Callithrix jacchus: one gene and its partners. The protein of the gene in region 1 interacts with the protein of each later gene in a biochemical or structural test. Links are inferred from orthologs where the notes say so. Each region holds a gene or a part of one and is shown in the gene's direction. Other genes may lie near its edges.

The links.
Region 2: the proteins of FOXA2 (region 1) and OTX2 form a complex in vitro, tested with the Homo sapiens proteins (2 studies listed by BioGRID). The link is inferred for Callithrix jacchus from reciprocal best matches to the Homo sapiens genes FOXA2 and OTX2.
Region 3: the proteins of FOXA2 (region 1) and HOXA5 form a complex in vitro, tested with the Homo sapiens proteins (2 studies listed by BioGRID). The link is inferred for Callithrix jacchus from reciprocal best matches to the Homo sapiens genes FOXA2 and HOXA5.

What each region holds. Positions count from the first base shown.
Region 1 is NC_133506.1:29,610,450-29,615,152, reverse strand, and holds the start of FOXA2 (hepatocyte nuclear factor 3-beta), read left to right. Parts: upstream 1-1,780; 5' UTR 1,781-2,061; coding exon 2,062-2,148; intron 2,149-3,153; coding exon 3,154-4,455; 3' UTR 4,456-4,703. UniProt on the Homo sapiens protein: Transcription factor that is involved in embryonic development, establishment of tissue-specific gene expression and regulation of gene expression in differentiated tissues.
Region 2 is NC_133509.1:91,472,558-91,477,265, reverse strand, and holds the start of OTX2 (homeobox protein OTX2), read left to right. Parts: upstream 1-1,739; 5' UTR 1,740-1,843; intron 1,844-2,002; 5' UTR 2,003-2,066; intron 2,067-2,924; exon of another isoform or gene 2,925-4,064; intron 4,065-4,210; exon of another isoform or gene 4,211-4,346; intron 4,347-4,366; exon of another isoform or gene 4,367-4,625; intron 4,626-4,708. UniProt on the Homo sapiens protein: Transcription factor probably involved in the development of the brain and the sense organs. Can bind to the bicoid/BCD target sequence (BTS): 5'-TCTAATCCC-3'.
Region 3 is NC_133512.1:30,951,886-30,956,780, forward strand, and holds HOXA5 (homeobox protein Hox-A5), read left to right. Parts: upstream 1-1,926; 5' UTR 1,927-2,000; coding exon 2,001-2,562; intron 2,563-3,538; coding exon 3,539-3,789; 3' UTR 3,790-4,570; downstream 4,571-4,895. UniProt on the Homo sapiens protein: Sequence-specific transcription factor which is part of a developmental regulatory system that provides cells with specific positional identities on the anterior-posterior axis. Also binds to its own promoter.

The sequences.
Region 1 (4,703 bases):
CCTCCACGTTCACTATGTGGCCCTACACACCATCACGCCCCTTCCCTGGCGCACCGGGCTGGCCTGCCCCTCTTGGGAGTCTTCAGCACTCTGGGGTCCGAAGGGCACGGCTTCCGCGCAGATGCAGACCCTGACTTTGGGGTAGATTCCCGCCCTGACACTCAGCCGGCTGATGAGTGTCCTCTCTGTGAATTGTCCAAATCATCGGCCTTTCAGCAGCAAGACATCTGCCCCTTGGGTCCCAAACAGTGCAGACCTGCCAGGCCTGGGGTTGGGGAGGCGGTTCCCCGGTGCCTACTGCTCCCTCCTCGCTTGGCTTCCAGCCTCACCCTCACTCGATCTTCAATGCGAAGCTCCGTGTCTGCCATCTCGCTTGTCTTCTGCAGCCAGCGCCCCCAATTTTGGACAAGTGGGCTGGATGCCCACCAGTTCCTATGTTTTCTCTGTCTCTGAGTGGGTGGGTACAGGGCTGAATCCCCAGGGTCCAGCCAGGATTTTAGAAGAAACAGCCTCCACAACCAAACACCTGCAATATTTCCCTACTCCCAATCTCTGCTCACAGAGATCTTGGTGGCTAACACAGTACAGAAGACAATTTTTGAACCCAGGAACTGCAGTGGAAATAAAAGTATACGATTACTGGAGTTTCTAATTTCTATAAAGCCGCCCCTCTGGAAGGCAGAGAGGACAGAGACCCTCTTAAAAGTCAACTCCATATGCCCCATCATTGATTCCTGGATTTTTCTCTCTTCACCCCTCCCTCCCCACCTCTTGCCCTGTTTGTTTTAGTTACGAAATGCTGTGGGCACCTCGGTTGTGACTGAAAAGTAACCTTGAAACACGCCGGCCTGAATGTCAAGAGACAAATCTCAGCCTCCCAATCGTCGGCCGCGGCTAGAGGGGTTGCGTGCGCCGGGAGCCAGCCTCCCCGCTGAGGGTCGCGGGCGGCGGGACTCGTAGGAAGCGGAGAGCCGAGGCTGCGGGACCGTGCGCCCCGCGCGTTTCCCCGGGCCGCTCAGGGTCTGAACTGTAACAGGGAGGGCCCTCGCAGGAGCAGCGGCGGGCGAGTTGAAGGTGTGTACACTAAATACGACAGCGCTTTGCAGATTGGCTCTGTCATCCGCTTGTTGTTTTGACAGGGAATGAGCGCTGAGAACCACGAAACCCGGCATAAATAAAACCGGCTTTCCTAGGGTTCTGCCGGGCAGGGAGGCTGGACAGGCCCTCCGACAGGAGCACCGAGCGCCCGGCTCTATGGGACGGGGCGGGGGCTGGAGCCCGGAGCCGCCCCGGAGGGTGGTCTCCTCCCAGGTCCCTCCTTCCTCGGGGGACTCGCCGCGTACCCGGGAGGAAAGGGGACTAGACCAGGGATCCCGCGTGCCGGATCACCCGCCTGGCCCGCTCTCCAGGCCCGCCCAGGAGTGCCGGGCGCCGCGGTAGCGGGGCGGGCGGCAGGCGCCGAGGGGCAGGTTCGGGGCGCCCGCGGCAGCTCCCTCTCACCTAGGTGTGAGCTGATTATTCAAATGGGCTGCCCCGGGTCTGGGGATTGGAGGCCCGCGCCAGCGCGCCGCGCTATATCACCAGCCGCCCACGTCACTGCGGCACTTGTCCGCTCCGCGGTCCACACCTCCTCCTCCTCCTCCTCCACCACCTCCTCCTCCTCCTCCTTCTCCTCCTCCTCCACCTCCTCCTTCTCCCTCCTCCTCCTCATACCCCCCCCCACCAGCCCCCGCGCCGCGCGCTTCCCGCCGCCTTGGGGCAGCTCGGCACTGCCAACCTCAGCCGCCACCGGGCAGCCCGTGAGCGCGGCGGCGGCGGAGGGCGCTCCCTACCGCGGGGCGCTGGCCGGGGCCTCCTCCGCTTCTCGCCGCCCCCCCTCCCCCCCACTTCCAACTAACGTCTCCGACCGGCCCTGGGAGAGAGAGGGAGTGGAGCCCAGGGAGAGGGAGTGCGAGAGAGGGAGGGAGGAGGGGACGGTGCCTCGGCTGACTTTTTTTAAAAGAGGGTGGGGGTGGGGGTGATTGCTGGTCGTTTGTTGTGGCTGTTAAATTTTAAACTGCCATGCACTCGGCTTCCAGTATGCTGGGAGCGGTGAAGATGGAAGGGCACGAGCCGTCCGACTGGAGCAGCTACTATGCCGAGCCCGAGGTAAGCGCTCGCCTTTTCCTGGGGGAAGTGGCGCTCGCTCCTTCCCCAACCTCAGGACCGCTTCCCTCGCTGGCACCCTCCTCCCCACCCTAGCCTTTCTGGGCAGCCGCCTTTTCCGCCCTCCTTCGACTCAAATGGGTCTCTTTTTTATACGACACACTGTTAGCCTTGAGATAATATTAACTTTGTGATCAAATATTGACTTGCGGCGCCTCCAAATCCTCTTCGTGGCCGAGCCACGCACTATCCTAACAGAGTTATGTTTGGCAGCGTGCGGCTGGGGAGGGGTGGGAGGTCGGCCGGCGAGGGGGTGGGGAGCTGAGGAGGAGAAGATGGGTAGGAGTTGGGGGCCGAGGTGGAGGCAGAGTCAAAGACTCGTGGACAAAGAGAAAGAAAGTTTGTGCCGGCAAAGCCCAGCCGTGTGTAGTTCGGGTCTCCGTTTCTTCCCTATTGCCCCATTCAGTGCCTCCCTCCGACCCTGCACTCCGCACAGGCTCTGCCTTTCAGTCCCCCTTGGACAAGGGAGGGCGTCCCGGGAGGGAGGTCGGACAGAAGGGGCCCGAAACAGTCTTCGCTGGAGGCAGCTCGAGGCGCCCAGCGCGGTGTCCCGCAGGTTGCTTGCTGCGACTGGAGGTGGCGTCCGGGGACTTCGGGCCTCGGAGCCAGCTCAGTATGCTGGTAGGAGAGTTTGGGGAGACTCTGGCATAGGATAATGCATTTGGGGTTCTGGCTTGGGAGTACTCCATGGGACCCCTGTTCTAGAACCTGGGCGAGGTGGAGAAGAGCTAAGAACGGGCCATATGCTCAGGCAGCCTTCCCAGGGCGATCGATCGTGGCTCTCCTTGGATGAAACAGACTCGGAGTCCGGAGACTGGGCCACAGGGGAGGAAAGGGCTCCCCGGAGGCCTCCCCGGAGGCGGAGGCCTGGGCGGCGGGTGGGAGGTCTGGGCACCCTCCAGCCGCGGTGCTAACGCTGTCGCCTCCCTCTCGGGGCTCTGTCCGCAGGGCTACTCCTCCGTGAGCAACATGAACGCTGGCCTGGGGATGAACGGCATGAACACGTACATGAGCATGTCGGCGGCCGCCATGGGCAGCGGCTCCGGCAACATGAGCGCGGGCTCCATGAACATGTCGTCGTATGTGGGCGCGGGCATGAGCCCGTCCCTGGCAGGCATGTCCCCCGGCGCGGGCGCCATGGCGGGCATGGGTGGCTCCGCCGGGGCGGCCGGCGTGGCGGGCATGGGGCCGCACCTGAGTCCCAGCCTGAGCCCGCTCGGGGGGCAGGCGGCCGGGGCCATGGGCGGCCTGGCCCCCTACGCCAACATGAACTCCATGAGCCCCATGTACGGGCAGGCGGGCCTGAGCCGCGCGCGCGACCCCAAGACCTACCGGCGCAGCTACACGCACGCCAAGCCGCCCTACTCCTACATCTCGCTCATCACCATGGCCATCCAGCAGAGCCCCAACAAGATGCTGACGCTGAGCGAGATCTACCAGTGGATCATGGACCTCTTCCCCTTCTACCGGCAGAACCAGCAGCGCTGGCAGAACTCCATCCGCCACTCGCTGTCCTTCAACGACTGCTTCCTGAAGGTGCCCCGCTCCCCCGACAAGCCGGGCAAGGGCTCCTTCTGGACCCTGCACCCCGACTCGGGCAACATGTTCGAGAACGGCTGCTACCTGCGCCGGCAGAAGCGCTTCAAGTGCGAGAAGCAGCTGGCGCTGAAGGAGGCCGCGGGCGCCGCGGGTGGTGGCAAGAAGGCGGCATCCGGGGCGCAGGCCTCGCAGGCGCAACTGGGGGAGGCCGCCGGGCCGGCCTCCGAGACTCCGGCGGGCACCGAGTCGCCTCACTCGAGCGCCTCCCCGTGCCAGGAGCACAAGCGAGGGGGCCTGGGAGAGCTGAAGGGGACGCCGGCGGCGGCGCTGAGTCCCCCGGAGCCGGCGCCCTCTCCTGGGCAGCAGCAGGCCGCGGCCCACCTGCTGGGCCCGCCCCACCACCCGGGCCTGCCGCCCGAGGCGCACCTGAAGCCGGAGCACCACTACGCCTTCAACCACCCCTTCTCCATCAACAACCTCATGTCCTCGGAGCAGCAGCATCACCACAGCCACCACCACCACCAGCCCCACAAAATGGACCTCAAGGCCTATGAACAGGTGATGCACTACCCGGGCTACGGCTCCCCCATGCCTGGCAGCCTGGCCATGGGCCCCGTCACGAACAAAACGGGCCTGGACGCCTCCCCTCTGGCCGCAGATACCTCCTACTACCAGGGGGTGTACTCCCGGCCCATTATGAACTCTTCTTAAGAAGACGACGGCTTCAGGCCCGGCTGACTCTGGCAGCCCGGATCGAGGATAAGTGAGAGAGCAAGTGGAGTCGAGACTTTGGCGAGGCCGCGTTGCAGAGACGCAAGGGAGAAGAAATCCATCGCGCCCACCTCAACCCCCCAAGACAGCAGTCTCCCCCACCCGCTGCAGCCCTTCCGTCCCAAACAGAGGGCCACATTGATATCCCGCGTTCTATATAAGGAGGAAAACGGGAAAAAATATGAAGT
Region 2 (4,708 bases), on another chromosome or scaffold:
CTGGGAACCCGACAGCCAGCGGGTCTCCGGACTGGAGCTGCTGCAGAGGGCCGGGAAGGAGCTGGGCGGGCCCCGGGCCGCTAGGGGACTAGAGGGGCCACCAGGGCCCAAAGCTTTAGAGACACCTGTGACAGAGGCTGCGGCCACGGAGTCCCCAGCCCCAGGCCGAGCTGGAGCCGGAGCCCAGCCCCGCTGCCGAAAGCTTGCTGCCTCGTGCGCACTCCCGTAATTCGTTAATTGCTGTAAATCCCAAGGACGGCCACATTTGATTACACATACAGTATAAGAACCGACAACAAAGCGACGAATTAATTACCAACTTCATTAACATAGGTCCCCAAATTAAAGGCAGCGAGCTCTTTCTTTGGGCCCACTAGCAGTGGTGGTGATGGTAGTTGGTGGTGGTGAGGGGGGGAGGTGTTTAGGAAGAGATTTTATTTTTCTTTTACTGCACTGGGTATTGAGAAGAGCTGTTTTCTGCTCCCTCCGCTCCCCCCACCGTTATTCACATCCACTCAGCAATTCCGATATCCCTCCCCGCATACTCCGCCCAGTCTGTTTTTGCTTTTCTAGAGACTCAGATCCGTTTGAAACCTGTCCGGTCCCTGATCTCTGTGCCAGGCAAAAAAGTTGGGCTGGAGGTCGCACTCTCTGGCTCGGGTCCCCAGCTCCCATCACTTCCCAGCCTCCCGGCTCTCAGCTCGGGGCTCGGGCGGCGCCAGCCCAGTTAGCTCCAGGCCTCGCAGTGTCCGGCATTTGGCGGCGTTTGTTCTAACACAGAAACTGTTTCCAACGGGGGCCTTCCACGTTCGCTCCCTTCCCCGATATCCTGTCTACCTCACACTCGCATCCTCCAGGCCTGATGTGGCCCCAGCTACTTCCCCTAAATGGGATCTGTGATTTGATTCCGGGGTTCGTGTTCCCTACAGTCAGTCTTGGGCTTCACAACTCCAAAAAAAAAAAAAAAACCCAGGCGCCTACCAGAAGCCGGGGTCTCTCACTCAGGGATCATTTACTTATATGTCTAAAGATATTTATAACGGGGTAGGGAATAGAGAAGACACTGAGATTTAGAAAATAGTTTGTTCTTGGACTGGTGTATCTCTCTGTCTTCCCTACATGCCCACATGGCACTCCATCCCTCCCTCTTTTACCCTTTCTGGCCGTCAGCGTGCTCTGGCCCTGTTTGAGAAGGCATAGTAGTGTTTTTGAGTTTCAGTCTTACCTGCTTTCTGCCTCTCATCCACACCCTTATTGCTGGGCTTGAATGTGATAACCCAGTCACTCCCCACTCCTCCACTCCGCCCCCTGCGCTGCTTCAGCATTTACTTAAATATTTTTATCTTCCCATCTTACATTGTATGGGTTTCCTTTCTTCCCTTCCCTAAAAATAAAAAAAACACAAAGGAAAGAGGAAAGGAAATTTCAGAGTAAAGGAACCAGAGAAAAAGAGGGTAAGAGAAGAACTCCCTGTCCATCATTTTAATTATACAATTAGTTCACATGCTCCGGCCCATAATGTATATTTTAAGCGGAGCCCAGTGTCTTTAAAGAACATTCTGGTAATGTCGGAAGCCTGGATTTGTTGCCGGCTCATCCCCCGGTGCAGCAGCGGCCTGTTTTCCTCCCCCTGTTGTGTGTTTTTATTATTTTCCCTCTGGCTTAGATGTGTCAATCATTCTCTCCCTGCCATTGGTTGGAGAGTTTGCGTCAAAAAGTTGCCAGAGAGGCGCTTTCTCAGCAAATCTCCCTGAGAGCGGGACCGACCTCAGCTCCAACTCAGCCTCCACTGTGATTAAAAATAAAAATTGCTAGAGCAGCCCTCACTCACTACATATACTTTGTATGTATTGCAGAAGGGCCCACGCGTGTTTAGAACTCTAGCCGCCTTCCTCATTTTTTGTTCTTAAAAAAAATTTTTTTTCTTTTTGGTTGTGTTTGACTTTTCATGGATGGGTGAAGACTACAAGGTTTCTAACTCAATACTCTTGATTTCTTTTAGGATAGCTGGCTATTTGGAATTTGAAGGATATTTGACTTTTTCTAACCTCCCATGAGGCTGTAAGGTAAGTGTCCGTCTGTCTTGTCTCTCTATATCTACGTGTACTGGTGTCTGTCGGCCATCACCCTATAGTACCGCCAATAGACCGACCGATGCCCCTGTGGGAACGTGGAGTTCTGCAGGCGGATGCATTATTTTCTCTTACAAATTTTGAGGCGTAACAACGATCGTTGCAAAAAAAGAAATGTGATCTGGAAATGAGAGCGGGAGTGGGAGAGAGTCAGAGAGCGTGCTCCTGGGGGTCGTCGCTTCTGCAAAACGTCGTCGAAACGCTGCGAGTGTAATCTGGGTGTTTTGGAAGGTTTTGTTTGTGGTTTTGTTTTTACGTCAACGCCGTTCTGGGCTTCTCCCCGCGATCTTTGCGTTTTGGCCCCTAGATTGGTTTGGGGTCGTTTGGATGGATCCCAAAGACGTTTTTAGAGTCCGAGACAAAACGATGCAGATGTAGCTAGATGTATGGATTGAAACAACGATAATAAAAAGTCAGGCGCCTCCTTGGGCCCGCGCGCCGGAAACCTGGCTGGCTTGCGGGTCTGCCTGGGCCAGGGGCAGCCGCTCGAGCCCCTGCCCGCCCCTGATGAACCTGAGTGGAAACCGGAGCGGATAACCGAGGAGGACGAGAGCGCTGGTTTGTAGTCAGCCCCGGCGCTCGCCGCTCGCTTTTTTTTGGCCTCCTCTCCCTCAGCCTAACGCAGCTCGGTTCTCTTTCTTCCAAAAGCTTCCAGGTCACCTCTTTGTTTTTAAACACCCACCACCCCACAAAACCAAACCACCTTGGGCTGAAATTACGCAGCCCCCTACCCCCACCCCCGGTTGCCCTGGTCCCCGACCCTGGTCACACGGCCGAGAGAACGTGAAGAGTGGTTTTTCAACAGGACTTTGCCGGGCATGGTTCGCGGCCCGCCCCCGTCGCCCTCCGCGCGCACCTGGGGCGGGCAGAAGTGGCAGCGAGTGGCCCCTGCTCCGCCCGAGGCCGCGGCCGGGCCGAGGACAGGAATCCTTCTGCTGGGACCGCGGCCCCTCAGCTGTTCTCTGGCGGGGAGCGTCAGGGCTTGCCCGCGCGCTCGCGCACCCCCTTCCCAGGTTCAGGCTCGGAGACAATGAGGTGTCGTGGGTCTGGACCGGGCGGGGGCGGAGGGGTTCGCCGAGGCCCAGCTTGTGCCCTGGGTCTGCTCAGTGAGAACCATTAGAAGGTCTCTGCCAGCTCCGGTCCCGGGCGACTGGTCGGGCTGCAAACTCCCAAGAAGTCTTCGCTTTGCTGCGTTCAGGTGACTGTTGAAATCGATGCCCGATTTCGGGACACATTTTTGGAAACCCAAGTCCTCCGTCAGAATTCCACTGAGTTGGCTTTTGCCTCCTTCCCAGGCCGAAGTGGTGCGCGGGGAGCGAAGGCCGAGCGGCGCTGACCCTGCGGTGGCTGATTGCTTGGGGAGAGGACAGGGAAGTCGCTCCTTGAAATTCTCCCCAGCATCCTAGGGCTTTTCGGGAAGGAATTTCTCCTGCTCAGTTCGGGACTTTTTCCAGGTGCCAAAAGTTATTAGCAGGGGAGAGGAGCAGGAGAGGAAACTCCTCCCCCCAGAGCAAGGTAGACACCCAGACCTCAGCGCTGCTAACACCGGGGCTTTCTCCCAACGATAATTAATAGTCAAGGCCAACCCTTTTGGCACGTTTCTTCCTCCCTCCCTCGCGGGTGGCAGAGTTGTTTGATTCCCCGAGGCCAGAAACTTTCACTCGAGTTCGCCGGAGAGAGGCCAACGCCCGCCGTTTTCCGCGGTGCCCACACGTCTCCTTTTTCTTTCTTTCCTCCTCTTCGTCGTCTTTCCAGCCTCAGGCCAGTCGCCAGTCCGCGTAGTTTTGTTTCCTTTCCATCATGCAGAAAATTAATCAGCCCGGACGAGAAGCAGAGCGGAGCATGGCTGCCTGTAATTAAGGGACGTGTGCCCCTCGGATTATCTCGTTAGTTTATCAAGAAAACATTTATTATAATTAATTCTCGGACGAGGTAATTATTGTTGAGCGAGGACACAGCAACTGGTAGATGGGCTTCTTGGAAGAAAAAAAAAAAAAACAAGGCGAGGGGGGAGGGGGAAGCGACAGATTGCAGGAATTGACCGTTAGATATAAGGCTGCGCGGGCGACGCGGGCAGTGGAGCGGGACCTCGGGCACCAGGCCTGCGGGGCTGCGGGGCTTCCGGCAGGGACACGAGGCCCAGGAACTCGCTCCCGGAGGTACGGTCGCCGACCGGCTGCCTGGACTCACCGCATGACCGTGGTCAGCTTCTAGGTATGAGTTCTCCAGAGGCCACCTCGTAAGCAGTCATAGTGAGGCGTAGATTTTGGAAAAGTTATTTCTTTTCCCCATTCTGGACTCTGATTCGGGAGGAAAAGGGTTTTAAAAGTTAGATGAAAGGGCCCACGCCTTCTAAGCAAAGTGCAGACCTAGGCCGGCTGTGGAGAGAATCTCTTAGTTTTGTTTTTTGGTTTTCCTCTCTTCCTTTTAAAGGTGGATCCGGGAGCAAAAGTGAAAATAGTCTCTTCCAAGAATTTTAGCCATTTTGCAATGGTAAGGGCAGAGGAGCTCCTGGAAGGATCTCAGCCCTGGTGCTTTTTCTGTCGGTTACTGCTTTTTATGTTGGAATGTGCTAC
Region 3 (4,895 bases), on another chromosome or scaffold:
AACCTCCTTCGGCTTTGCCCTCTTTCCCTCGCCTGCTCCCCAACTTTTCTCTCCGCCTGCTCCCATCTGGGGGCTTCTGCAGCTTCAGGGGAGCCCGCAGCTTTGCAAGCGTCTGTGCATTTATTTCTTACAAAACAAAACCTCACACACAGCCAATACCAGCGGTGGAGCGGGGCGCACTGCACACACACAGTCCCGCTCCACAAGGCTGCCCAAACCCGAGCCGGAGCTCCGGGGTGCGCCCTGAATGCGTCCGGGGCTCCTGTGCTAGTGCCTCTGCGCTCCCCGACCTAGGGACACGGGGCTACTAGGGAGGAAAGAGCCCTGGGCCGAGTCCCGTTTCTTGTCTGGGCGTCTCTGCCTAGGTCCCTCGCCAGGAGGTCCCGAAGGGCATCATCAAATCATCTCTGGCCGGTGGAAAGAGGGGGTCTAAGTGCTGGGTCCTGGCGTTGTCTCGGCCTCCCAGGGCGCCTCCCAGAACAGGAAGCTGGAGGAACAAAGGGGGCCCCAACAGAGCCCAGTCTCTCGGCCCTGCTTGCGCAACCGTCAGTGGAAGAGAAGCTGCCCCAGACGAGGCGAGCTAACCTGGGCGCGAGTGGAACAGTACAGTCCGGGGACCGTCTGGGCTCCCTCAGGCTCCCGGCTCCGGATTCCCGCTCCCTCCCTCGGATAGCGCCCGCGTGGCCACCACAGCAGCGTTCAGACCCAACGAGGGGCCCGGGGCCATGGGAGCCTCCAGAGTCCTGGCTTCCAGAGGTACCAGGGGCGCCTGCAACACCGGGCCTCCAGCGGGGAGACTCCGCTTGCCTCTCAGCTGTATTTGTGATTTACTTGCGTCTTTCGGAGCCCTGGAAAATAACTACGGAGATACTAGGCACTGCCACGAAATGCTTCCATTATCGCCCTCATTTCACTCCTGGAGGTCTAAGCAAGACCCCAGTAACCCGGCCCGCGGATCCTCAGACCCTAAGCAGCCTCTGTGGCTGCAAGGAGCCTGGGCCCACTCGCTGAGTTCAACGAGAACCCTCCAACTTGGGGCCCGGCTGGCTCGAGGAACCAGACCCTGTGATGAAGGCTTTCCAAGCTGGATACGTAAGCAAATCAAATAGCAAACTAATGACATGAAAACCATACTCACACGAAAGAAAAATCAACTACGGTTATAAAATTGTATGGAATTTGACCTCGCTTTGGAGAAACACTACACAAAAGCTATCTTTAATAGACGCCTGTCATTTAAGAGCGGCAGGGACACTGTCCCTCATGCGCTAGCAAAAACAGAGCCGTAATTGTAGCTGCTGCTGCTGCTGCTGCTGCGGGCAGGATTTATTTCTCCAATTGGCTAAATGGCTTTCCCCCTTCCCCAAAGGTGGTATCTGTATTTTCAAAATTCAGAGCTGCCGGCAGGACGGGCAGAGTCGACCCCAACCTCGACACAAAAATAAGAGGGGCTGCAAAACGGGGGAAATAAAGTTGTTGTAAATAAAATGCAGGTCACCACCTCCCCCCAATCCTCTGTATCCTCGCCCGGCGCGCGATCGGCAGCTGACGGCCTAACAATTGGTACATCCTAATGGAACTGCGAGGGAAATGCAATAATTTTGCCATAATGGGCTGTAACCTCAATTCGACCCCAGCCCTTGCAACCCCGGGTCGGAAGCGGGGCGATGCGCCCTGACTCCAGCGGGTGGCGCTCGAGTCCGACTGAACGGCGGCAACGAGCAGCGGGCACGCGCCCGGGGCACGCGCGCCAACCCTCTCGCCTCCACCCAACTCCCCCATTAGTGCACGAGTTTACCTCTAGAGGTCATCAGGCAGGATTTACGACTGGACAACAAAAGCACGTGATTCGAAGTCGTACCCCATATTTGGGTGCCTACGTAGGAGGGAACCAAGTACATGTCCCAGTCATTTCCATAATTCATCATAAATTGTGCAAGGGTGCTATAGACGCACAAACGACCGCGAGCCACAAATCAAGCACACATATCAAAAAACAAATGAGCTCTTATTTTGTAAACTCATTTTGCGGTCGCTATCCAAATGGCCCGGACTACCAGTTGCATAATTATGGAGATCATAGTTCCGTGAGCGAGCAATTCAGGGACTCGGCGAGCATGCACTCCGGCAGGTACGGCTACGGCTACAATGGCATGGATCTCAGCGTCGGCCGCTCGGGGTCCGGCCACTTTGGCTCCGGAGAGCGCGCCCGCAGCTACGCGGCCGGCGCCAGCGCGGCGCCCGCCGAGCCCAGGTACAGCCAGCCGGCCACGTCCACGCACTCGCCTCCGCCTGACCCGCTGCCCTGCTCCGCCGTGGCCCCCTCGCCCGGCGGCGACAGCCACCACGGCGGGAAAAACTCCCTGGGCAACTCCAGCGGCGCCTCGGCCAACGCCGGCAGCACCCACATCAGCAGCAGAGAGGGGGTTGGCACGGCGTCCGGAGCAGAGGAGGACGCCCCTGCCAGCAGCGAGCAGGCGAGTGCGCAGAGCGAGCCGAGCCCGGCGCCGCCCGCCCAACCCCAGATCTACCCCTGGATGCGCAAGCTGCACATAAGTCATGGTAAAGCCAGCCTTTTTCTAAATCCACGCTACCGTGGGGGACGCGGCTCTCGATCCCCTCTCTTTCCTCTGCCACCCTCTCCCAGTCTCTCTTCTGGTCTCATTTCTCCCAGCCCTGCGGAGCCTCTCTTTGCCATTCTCCTTCTCCTGCCTTCCTCCTTCCTCCTCTTCCTTGCAAACACTCCGCGCTCATAAATAATGGGGGAATCGGGCGCTGGCTGGGCCAGTTTAGGCACTGAAAGGGGAAGGAAGAAAAAAAAAAAAAACCCTCTGAACCCCACGCTGTGGAACGCGCTCCTGGGTCAGGCCAGCCGAGCAAGGCACAGAGAGGTAGAGGATGGCAGTAGGAGCCGTGAATCGGGCTTGTCAGGGCGGATGATTTATGAAGGGGGCTACGCTGGGGAAACAGCGTTACTAATTAGAGCCCCGGAAAAGGGGCTTGGGGGGAAAAATCGAGGCGAGAGCCGGCAGGATTCTGAAGTTTGGGGGCAGTAGGGAGAGAGAAGGAAAGGGAAGAAAAAGAAAGCAGGCGCCCCAAGCCTGCAGGCTGTAAACTGGAGGCGGCTTGAGGGACTGGAACTTTGAGGGAGGGTGACCCGAAGGCCACTTGGGCGCTCAGGAAAGGGTCGTGCTTCCTGGGCTTCGGAGCGGTGGGCAGCCTGGGAGAGCTGTGCCTCCCAGTCGGGGCGCCCGGGGCAGGGTGGAGAGGGCAGGAGTGAGGCCAGGGAAAGCCGGAGTCCTCCGGACATGGCCCCAGCCTCAGATGGGCGGATTGTTCCCAGGGTCCAAATTGTATTGTTTTCTCTCTAGAAAGGAAGAGGGAAGGAAATTCGGGAGGGGTGTGCGGGCTGGTATGGAGAACTTGTTGAGCCTTTCGCCTGGGTTCCCTATTCAGGACGCAAGCTTGTCCCCCTGGCGGACTTTGGAAGCCAGGGGGTGAGGAGTTGGTGGCTAAACCGCTGACTTTTCTGTTGCAGACAACATAGGCGGCCCGGAAGGCAAAAGGGCCCGGACGGCCTACACGCGCTACCAGACCCTGGAGCTAGAGAAGGAGTTCCACTTCAACCGCTACCTGACCCGCCGAAGAAGGATTGAAATAGCACATGCTCTTTGCCTCTCCGAGAGACAAATTAAAATCTGGTTCCAAAACCGGAGAATGAAGTGGAAAAAAGATAATAAGCTGAAAAGCATGAGCATGGCCGCGGCAGGAGGGGCCTTCCGCCCCTGAATATCTGAGCGTTTAAAGTACTGAGCAGTATTAGCGGATCCCGCATAGTGTCAGTACAAAGGTGACTTTCTGAAACTCCCTTGTGTTCCTTCTGTGAAGAAGCCCTGTTCTCGTTGCCCTAATTCATCTTTTAATCATGAGCCTGTTTATTGCCATTATAGCGCCTGTATAAGTAGATCTGCTTTCTGTTCATCTCTTTGTCCTGAATGGCTTTGTCTTGAAAAAAAAAAAAATAGATGTTTTAACTTATTTATATGAAGCAAGCTGTGTTACTTGAAGTAACTATAACAAAAAAAAAAGAGAAAAAAACACACAAAAATTCCCCCTTCAATCTCGTTTAGTGCCAATGTTGTGTGTTGCACTCAAGTTGTTTAACTGTGCATGTGCGTGGAAGTGTTCCTGTCTCAATAGCTCCAAGCTGTTAAAGATATTTTTATTCAAACTACCTATATTCCTTGTGTAATTAATGCTGTTGTAGAGGTGACTTGATGAGACACGACTTGTTCAACATGTAGTGACTAGTGACTGTGACGAAAACTGTGACTCCAAGCGGTGTGTCCCTGCGTGCCTTTGTAGGACCCTTTGCACGAACTCTGGAAGTGGCTCTTATAAGCGCAGCTTCAGTGATGTATGTTTTTGTGAACAAAGTTACAAATATTGTCCAAGTCTGGCTGTTTTAAGCAAACTGTGATCAGCTTTTTGTTTTGTTTTGTTTTTTGGTATTTGTTTTTAAGGAAAAAATACTGACTGGAACAAAAAATAAACTTTCTATTGTAAGTTCTCTTGGTCTGGTTTGTGCCAAATAGTGAGTGGCTCTGTCTGCTTTTCTGTCTGTCTGTTCAGTCCTGGAAGCCCGTAGGTCTGAGGCTACCTGAGCAGATGACCTGTGCAGGGAGACCTCAGACCAACACTGGCCCATCGCCTTCCTAACTCTGACCCATCACAAAGTTCAGGGCAGAAGGTGGGAAAAGCTGCAGGCGGTTCCAAAGCCCGAGGCCACCCTGACCATCTCTGAGGAAACCAAGTTAACTTGCTGGGTACAAAACAGAGAGACAGAGTGAGAAAGAAGGAGGAAAAGCCCAGGGCTTTGTTAGCTGCCCTCGGGC